Linked DNA regions of Caenorhabditis elegans. The protein of the gene in region 1 purifies or fractionates together with the protein of each later gene. This does not show direct contact. Each region holds a gene or a part of one and is shown on either strand. Other genes may lie near its edges.

Evidence for each region.
Region 2: the proteins of snx-14 (region 1) and cysl-3 fractionate together in Caenorhabditis elegans (co-fractionation; one large-scale study listed by BioGRID). This does not show direct contact.

What each region holds. Positions count from the first base shown.
Region 1 is NC_003280.10:13,527,931-13,533,238, reverse strand, and holds the start of snx-14 (Sorting nexin-12), read left to right. Parts: upstream 1-2,020; 5' UTR 2,021-2,043; coding exon 2,044-2,144; intron 2,145-2,206; coding exon 2,207-2,554; intron 2,555-3,688; coding exon 3,689-4,211; intron 4,212-4,887; coding exon 4,888-5,103; intron 5,104-5,161; coding exon 5,162-5,308.
Region 2 is NC_003283.11:3,774,016-3,778,335, reverse strand, and holds cysl-3 (Cysteine synthase 3), read left to right. Parts: upstream 1-2,199; 5' UTR 2,200-2,202; coding exon 2,203-2,302; intron 2,303-2,347; coding exon 2,348-2,519; intron 2,520-2,577; coding exon 2,578-2,981; intron 2,982-3,355; coding exon 3,356-3,590; intron 3,591-3,636; coding exon 3,637-3,739; 3' UTR 3,740-3,800; downstream 3,801-4,320. Other genes in the region: R08F11.1 (Non-lysosomal glucosylceramidase), read left to right, coding at 323-508; rips-1 (Methyltransferase domain-containing protein), read right to left, coding at 3,902-4,207, 4,255-4,320. UniProt on the Caenorhabditis elegans protein: Primarily catalyzes the formation of cysteine and acetate from O-acetylserine and hydrogen sulfide.

The DNA.
Region 1 (5,308 bases):
TTAAAATTTTTTTCCAATTTTTTCGGCATTTTTTTTACGAAAATAAATTTCTATACATATTGAAAAAGTTCAAAAATTTCGACAAAATTAATTTTTCTGATTTTATGTTCGAAATCATTAAAAATTGAAAAAGGGCAATTTTTTAGTGTTTGTAGATCAATTTTGAGTCGTCTAACTACAAAATTAACCAGAATAATTTATACACTTTTTTTTTTGTTTTTGGTTTTTTTTTTAATATTTGTTCCGCTAGAATTGTTTTTTTTTTTGCTTTTTTTTGTTGATTTCGATTTCTCGCACAATACACTTGTTTTGAATTTTTTTTTGTTAATATTTTGAATTTTTTCAATTTTATGCGTAGATTTTCGCATATACTATTTATTTTCAGAAAAAAGTTTTTTTTTAGGATTTTACAATTTTTTTAGGACAAAACAATTCGCAAAAATTAAAAAAAAAGATTTTGCCAAATTTTTACGCTATGTCAGCTTTAAAAAAATAATTTGAATATTAAATTCTAAAAAAAAAAAATTTTTTTTATAAATTTTTGTAAATTTTCGCATATATATTTACTATTTATTTTTTTCAGAAAAAAAAGTTTTTTTTTTTGATTTTTCAATTTTTCAGACAAAAAAAATTAATTTCACTTGGTGCTAGGCTGTCCTATTACGGTTTGATCTACAAAAAAATGCGGGAATTTTTTGCCCAAAAATAGGTGACGTCAGCACGCTCTTAACCATACGAAATCAGTTGAGAACTCTGCGTCTCGACTCCCGCATTTTTTGTAGAGATCTACGTAGATCAAACCAAAATGAGACACTCTGACACCACATGAAATTTCCGAAAATTTGAAGAAAAAATTTTTTAAATAGTTTTTTGCCAAATTTTGACGCTATGTAAGCTTTTAAAAAATAATTTGAATATTAAATTCCAAAAAAAAAATTTTTTTTTTCGATTTTTTAAAGGATTAAAAACTACATTTTTTTACGGAACTAAAAAATATATTTATAAAAAAATTTGTATATTTTCAAAAAAGTGCCAAAAAATTTTTAATTAAATTAAGTTTTCGAAAAAAAATTTTTTCTGAAAATGTTCGAAACCATTAGAAATTAAAAAGCGGCATTTTTTAAGGGTTTGGAGATGAGGGTTGAGTCCTCTAACTATAAAATTGGCCATTTTAGAGCCGTTTCAAAACTGTGATTTTTTGCCATAAATTGTCATTTTTGCCACTTTTTAATAATTTTTGATGGGTTAAACCTAGATTTTCTGAATTCAGCATTCATGAATTACACGTTTTCAACAAATTTAGACAACTTTTTATTTTTGCCCAATTTTTCAGGCTGTCCTTTTTTTTGGGTAAAAAAAAATATATTTTTTTCTGAAAATTTTTGAAACCATTAAAAATTGAAAAAGGGCAATTTTTTAGGGTTCGGAGATCAATTTTGAGGCCTCTAACTACAAAATTAACCAATTAAAAAGATCGAAAATTTTCAACAAAAAAAAATCCAAAAACAAATTGGAAAATGAATTCCAATTTTTGAATTTCCAATTTTTTTTTGTACAATTTCAAAAAAAGTGCCAAAAAACTATTTTTTAATTTTAAAAATTAAAAAATTTGGTTTTTTTTCTGCCAAAACTCCCTCTTTTTTCTAAATGTCAAAAAACTTTTTTTTTGAAAAAAAAAAACACTAAACCTGATGTGAAAAATTCCGATTTTTGAAGTTTTTTTTCCGAAAAAAAGGAAGTTTTTTTTGTAAATTTTCTAAAAAAATTTAAATTTTTAGCGAAATTATTCAGCCAAAATTTCAAAAAAAAAATGCGACTTTTTTTTCGATAATTTCAGTTTTTCCCTTTATTCGGCATGTTTTTCGAAGAAAAAAAAACTCAAAAAAAATTCACAAAAGTTCGAAATAATTCAGCCAAAATTTCAAAAATTTCAAAAATTTCTAAGAAATTGGAAAAAGTTCGAATAAATCACATTTGAAGTGAGAAAAATTCAAATTTCTGAATTTCCAATTTTTTGCAGATGCAACAACAACACAACTCATTATGATGAACATGTCCGATCCGAAACAACAACAACAACAAAAGATCCACGTGGGCGCCGCCGTGGTTCTTCTCACGGCGATCTTCTACGCGGCCGACTTTGGGTGAGAAGAGGAAATTCTCGGCCACCGACCGACAGACTTTTCACAAAAAAATCAATATTTAGATTCGTATCGATTCTCGTCGTAATCGGCTCACTGCTCGCCGGAATTCTCTTCGCAAAATGGGTATTCGAGTGTTCGAACGGAGAGATGCTATACCAATGGAAGGACTACTTCAATCCGTCTGCCACCACGTCATCAAGGAAGCCAGAAGCCGAAGAAGCTGACGACGACGATGATGATGCCAGGCTGGATTCGGAGAAGACCCGACGGATGCCTTGGCAGGGCCTCAGCCTACCGGCTTCACTGAACGAGGCCGTCGAAAATTTGCTGAACGAGATTGTCGAGCAATATGTGAATGGGTGGTATGGAGGGGCGATTAGCAGGGATCGAGCTTTTATTAACGAGATACGGTAGGTGTAGTTTGTAGTTTGTAGTTTGTAGTATGCGTAGTTTGTAGCTGTGTTATCATAAAAATGGTCGTACGGGTGCACAAATAAATTGTATTTTCTGAATTTATCAAGGATCTAGTTTTGTTCAGAACGTAGTCCGCATTTTGTAGTTTGTAGTATTCGTAGTTTGTAGTTTATAATTTGTAGTATTCGTAGTTTGTAGTTGTGTTATCATAAAAATGGTCGTACTGGTGCACAAATAAATTTTAGATGTGAACTTGTTAGGGATCTAGTTTTATTCAGAACGTAGTTCGCATGTTCTAGTTTGTAGTATTCGTAGTTTGCAGTTTTGTTATCAAAATGAAAGTTGTGCTCGTGCGTGTCAACTTGTCAAGTATCTAGTTTTCTTCAGAACTTAGTTCGAATTTTGCAGTTTATAGTTTGTAGTATTCGTAGTTTATAGTTTGTAGTTTGTAGTATTCGTAGTTTGTAGTATGTAGTTTGTAGTATTCGTAGTTTGTAGTTGTGTTATTCTAATACTCGTGCGTAAATCAATTTTAGTTGTGACCTTGTTGAGGATGTAGTTCGCATTTTGTAGTTTGTAGTTTGTAGTTTGTAGTTTGCAGTTTGTAGTTTGCAGTTTGTAGTTTGTAGTATGCGTAGTATGTCGATCTTGGTATCATTTATTGATGTGATTGTATTTAATAATATATACATTTTCTGTTACGCAATATTTATAAATGTGATTTGAAGTTTGTAGTTTGTAGTCCAAACCTTGTAACTTGTAGTTTGTTGTCCGTACCTTGTAGTTTGTAGTTTATAGTCCGAAGTCACTGCTACTAAATTGTATACTTGTGCGCTAATACAATTTAGTGATGTATGTGAATCATATAGTTTGTAGTTTTTCACGTGGTGTCAGAGTGTCTCATTTCGGCTTGATCTACGTAGATCTACAAAAAACGCGGGAGAAGATCTTCTCGAGACGCAGAGTTCTCAACTGATTTTGCATAGTTAAGAACGTGCTGACGTCACATTTTTTTGGGCAAAAATTCTCGCATTTTTTCGTAGATCAAACCGTGTTTTTAATTCGTACCCTCTAGCTTGTAGTTTATAGTTTGTAGTTCTCCAAAATCAACAAAAGAATTCAAATTCCAGGTACCAACTCCGCTACGCATCGGCCAACCTCATCCGGTGCATCCGACGCGTCGATCTCGCCGAATTCGTCTCCGATCAAGCTCTCCCCATAGCCTCATTCTACATAACCCGTATCAATGAGCTCGAGCAGAAGCTTCGCGAGTCTCCGACACCACCCCGATCCCTGCTCGAAACTAAGATCGCCGAGCAGCTAGACGACATCCACGTGGCGTTGAGCGGCCGTGATGAGGAGACGGCCTATGTCAGGCAGATTTCGGATTTTCTGATTCCGAGGCTTCTCGACGAGACTCGGCTCGCCGGGCGGGCTCACGATGATGATAGTCCTCTACGACTTTTTGGACGGGGGAAGAATGAACGGCCGTGGCCGTCGAAATCGGTGCGGGGCTTTTTGAGGGAAATGCTGACGAATGCGGTGCTCCTGCCGGTTTTTGATATGCTCACGCAGCCGGATACGATCAATTATTGGCTGATTCTGTTGTTTGATGAACATCGTAAAGTGGAGATGATCGAGGAACATGTGGATGTAAGGATGCTTTAGGTCCCTAAAAAATCAGGTCGATTTACGACGTAGTGTGTGGATTTACGACGTTGTGTGTCGATTTACGCGGGCTGTCGTTTGTCGATTTACGACGTTGTATGCCGATTTACGACGTTGTGTGTCAATTTACGATAGCGTCTGTCGATTTACGCTGTTGTCTAGCAATGTCTTCTGTCGATTTACCCAGTCGTATGTCGATTTACGCATACTGTCGTTTGTCGATTTACGCTGTTTCCTAACAATGTCTCCTGTCGATTTACGCTGTCGTTTGCCGATTTACGACATTGTATGTCGATTTACGCTGCTTGTCGTTTGTCGATTTACGATAGCGTCTGTCGATTGACGCTGGCTGTCGTTTGTCGATTCACGACGTTGTGTGTCGATTTACGATGGCTTTTGTCGATTTACGACACGGAGTGTTGATTTACAACGTGCTGTGTCGATTTACGCCGTCGTTTATTTATTTGCGCTGTCGTTTGTCGATTTACGCTGTTGTGTGTAGATTTACGACGTTGTGTGTCGATTTACGATGTCTTTTGTCGATTTACGCTGGTTGTCGTTTGTCGATTTACGACATCATCACGCTCCTAGTTTTGGAGTTTAATAGGCGGCAGCTCAAAACTAGTTTTCCTGTCGAGACCCAAGAAATTCTCATTTTCAGACAACTCCCATTCCCCTCTTAAAGGGTCTTACCGATGAATCCGGCGCCTCCGACAATCTCCCCGACTCACTTCTCCAGCTGAAACTCACCGAAATTCTCCGCGACGCCCGTCTCTATGCGATCTTTCGAATGTACCTCCAGGACATTCGCGGACCGGTTCATGAACTGCAATTCCTTGTGGAAGCCACACGGATCTTGGATAGTATTCAGAGAAAAGTAGGATTTGGGGGAAGCGGATCTGTCAAAAATTCAAAAAATTATTTAAAATTTGCAGCTAGAATCCGATAGTCAAATCGCGTACGACATCTGGCAGCTTTACGGGCAATTTGTGCATGAAAGTGCTCAGGAGCGAGTCCGAATTGCGGAGAGCCTCGTTGAACAGTACAAGTCGGCGGTGGAGGTTAACGATATTAGGGTTCTA
Region 2 (4,320 bases), on another chromosome or scaffold:
CGCCGTCTCCTCAGTAATGTGATCATTTGAAGTTTCGAGAATTTGAATCGCCGCGTCGTAGTCACATTTGTTTGGGCAAAAAATTCTCGCATTTTTTGTAGATCAAACCGTAATGGGACACCACGTGACGACCTATCGATAAATAAACTATTTTAATTCGTTTTGAAAATCTCGCCCGTAAATCGACATGCTACAGTAATCATTTAAAGAATTACTGTAGTTATCGCTACGAGATATTTTGCGCGTCAAATATGTTGCGCATTACGCAGTCTCAGAAACGTAATAAACCACATTTTACGCGCAAATCGAACAAATTTTCCAGGGCATGGATGAGCAAGCATTCAAAACTTCTGAAGGGCTCTTCGAATCCATTTGGCACCGCTTTCCACTTCAGTATCAGACTCCAGAAGCCATCACCTCCGACGGAATGTACAGAGCCTTGGGCTACATGCGCCCTTTGTCAATTTGGGCGATTCAACACGCGCTGGACAGGCGTTACAGGGAATAAAATGAATAGCTGCACAATTTTTGTATTTACCGTATTTCTTCTATTAGTATGGCCTCCCTATTAGACTTGCACTCCCTATTAGTATTGCTCCTTGAACACCCTCCGAAAATTAGTATTGCACTCCCTATGAGTGTTGCACTCCCTAATAGTCTTGCATCTACTTTTTTTTTGGTACAAACCCACCCTACTAATTTTGAGATTTGAACAACATTTTTTGCCTACTTTGCAACAATTTTGGTAAAATTTCTATGAAATTGAAGTTATTGTACCTTTTTGTTGCAATTACAATCAAATTTTCTGAATTTTCACATAAGATTCGAGTTTTTTCTGGAAAAAAACTAGTAAGCTCAAAGTCAGAAAATGTTCTGAACATTAGTATTGCACTCCCTAATAGTCTTGCACTCCCTATTAGTATTGCAAGCGGGAAGACCATCGAAAAATAGTATTGCAGCCATATTAATAGAAGAAATACGGTATACGCTTTTTTTATTTGTAAATTTCAAGTCAACCAATAAATCCATCTTTTAAAAAAATAAAAAAGCACATGTCCTGTAATTCGCACTTTTCGCTGAACCACTTGCCAAAAAGGGATGTTTACTTTTGGTGACCATCAGTTAACGCGTACAAAAATCAGAAAAGTCACGTTCACCGCGAGAGACATGTGCAAGGAGTGGAGACTCAGACATAGAGCAATCGAGCGGAAAGTAGGCGCATAAATTTTCGATGATAAATCGACATGGACAAGGCGGAGTGTGATGATTGTGGGGTTATAAATGGTTTCATTTTACACCGAATTCTTGCAGTCTTTCGATTTTTCTTCCATCGTATTTTGTGGTTTCCGCAAATTCTTAGCCGACTTTTTGGCAAATTTCGGCCAAGTTTCAATTTTGCCCAACTTTTGTAAACTTTTACGAACAGTATTTCTAAACTTGCTAGAGTTGATTGAAAAGTTAGTTTAAATTGCCGGATTGCCGATGTGCCGGAACTTTTAGTTTCCAGCAATTTGCCGATATGCCGTTGTCGAACATTAATTTGCCGGAAGTTTTTAGATGGATTTTTTATAGGACGGATACATTTAAAACTGTGCCTTTTCGAATTTTTCCCGTTTTCTTTGGATATTTTCATATAATATTCTTACTTTCAAAATAGATATATTATCGAAAAAATACAATCGCACATTTTTCTCATAATTTATTTTTGATCTACCTTGTTTACTAGGCTCCGCCCCCCTAAAGTAATTTTTACTTGCAATATTTTAGACACAAAAAGTCTGAAACTTCGGTCGAAATTATTAGAAATCGAAAACTAATATTTCTGAAAAGTGAACATTTCAACAAAAAATTTTTTAACTTGAATAAAGCTGTAGTGTTATGCTGTCCCATCAGTGTTTGATCTAAAATAAAAGCGGGAATTTTCGCTGAGAAATAAATCTGCGTCAGGTAACATTCAGAGATCAAAAAGTCTTTATCTATATTTTGATCTATTTGGGCTTCCTGCAGGTGAATAGTGACCTACAGTCTTCCCGCTTGCATCTCCTCCCTTCCTATGTTGTTGTGAGGCAGAGTCAGTTGACGTCTTGTATTTACTTTTCTTCGTCAATAAACCATCTTTTTAAAAATAAAAATTTAAATTTTCTAATCTCTTTTTTTCATATTTCTGCTGTTTGAAACTTCAATTTTTTGTATTTTCAGAAAATGTCTCGTGAATTGATGGTTCAGGATAGTGGGGACACTATCGGAAATACTCCATTGGTGCTTCTCCGAAATATTTCCAAAGGCTTGGATGCCAGAATCGGTAACAATATTTTATGAAATTTCGCTGAAAATTTGTAAATTTCAGCTGTCAAAGTGGAATATCTGAATCCATCGTGCTCTGTCAAGGATCGAATTGCCAAGTCAATGGTGGACGAAGCCGAGAAAGCTGGAACAATTGTGCCCGGAAAAACGGTTCTCGTTGAGGGAACCAGTGGAAATTTGGGCATCGCTTTGGCTCATATTGGAAAGATTCGAGGGTTTGACAACTGACTTTACAGCGGAAAAAAAATTAAAACTTTAATAAGATATTTTTAGATACAAGGTGATTCTCGTGATGCCAGCCACCATGAGCGTTGAGCGTCGTGCCATGCTCCGAGCCTACGGAGCCGAGGTGATCCTGTCCGATCCAGCTGAAGGACATCCGGGAGTTATTAAGAAAGTGGAGATGCTTGTCGATAAGCTTCCAAATGCTCATTGCCTTGATCAATTCTCGAATCCCGCCAATCCAGCCGCTCATTATCGTACCACTGGGCCAGAAATTTGGAGGCAAACCGAAGGAAAAGTTGATATTGTGTGCTTTGGTGTAGGATCGAGTGGAACTGTGACAGGAGTCGGAAGATACCTCCGCGAGCAGAATCCGAATATTGAGATCTACCCGGTTGAGCCATACGAGAGTTCAGTCTTGAGTGGGCTGCCAAGAGGGCCACACAAAATTCAAGGTTTGATTTACATTCACGGGTTTTCATAGTCCCATGGTGAACATCTGTCGCACGTGGTGTTAGAGTGTCTCAGTTTAGCATGATCTACATAGATCTACAAAACATGCGGGAGAAGAGACGCAGAGTTCTCAACTGAATGTCGTATGGTTAAGAACGTGCTGACGTCACATATTTTTGAGCAAAAAATTCCCGCATTTTTTGTAGATCAAACCGTAATGAGACAGCCTGGCACTACGTGTAAGAATGATTAAAAGTCACGGCTGCGGTCGAGGTTCAGAACCATCTCGCTGAAACTCTGCCAGTTCATAATATGAGGGAGTCTGAAAGTGCTAACATTTCGTTATCACTCATTTCTTATCATTATAAACTTCTAGGAATCGGTGCCGGCATTGTGCCAGGAAACGTCGATCGCTCGTTGTTCACGGAAATTTTGCGCATCAAGTCTGACGATGCGATGCAAATGGCGCGGCGACTCGCCGACGAGGAGGCAATTCTCGGTGGAATCTCGTCCGGAGCCAACGTCGTCGCTGCCGTGGAGCTGGCTAGTCGCCCCGAGAACAAGGGAAAATTGATTGTGACCACTGTGAACAGCTTTGCAGAGAGATACTTGTGAGTTTATAGTGTAGTTTTTTTTAATCGAAACTTAAATTTTCAGCACCACGGAGCTGTACTCGGATGTGCTCAATGAAGTTTCACAATTGACTTTTTCAAGTGACGATGAGGCGATGGGAATTGCGAAGAAATATTTGGGTCTCTAAATGTATTTAACTGACATAAGATTGAGAATTTTTGGAAATTTAAAATAAATTGTATTCCCCAGCCAGCCATGAAAGAGTTTAATTATTTCAAACAAAAATTAAACAAAATTAATTTAGTAGGTCTTGTGCGGACTTAAAATATTAAAAGGCTTCAATAGTACCCTAATTTTTCTGGGCACAATACATCACATTAATAGGGAAATATGGGGTATCAATAACCTTCACATCAGGGAATCCGCATTTTTTAAGCAGGTCGGTAGCACGTTTCTGCCCCCACATTGCACCATAACACAGAGCATCTGGGCAGTTACTTCCGACAGGGAGACAATGGAACATGGAGCACCCGTACATCATTGCAGCCAATGGGCCCATGGCGGCTTTATCGGTGTATACGTTACTGGAGCCGAGCACCTCTACCATAGCGAACATCCCGCTTGGCTTGAGAACTCGGTGGATTTCTTGGACGCACTGAAAATTATAAAATATCTTTTTAGAAAATTTAAGATTTTCAGTACCAAATCTGGTCTCCGCTGATCGTGGCATGCATCAAAAATAAGCACCAAATCGAAGGAGTCCGTCCA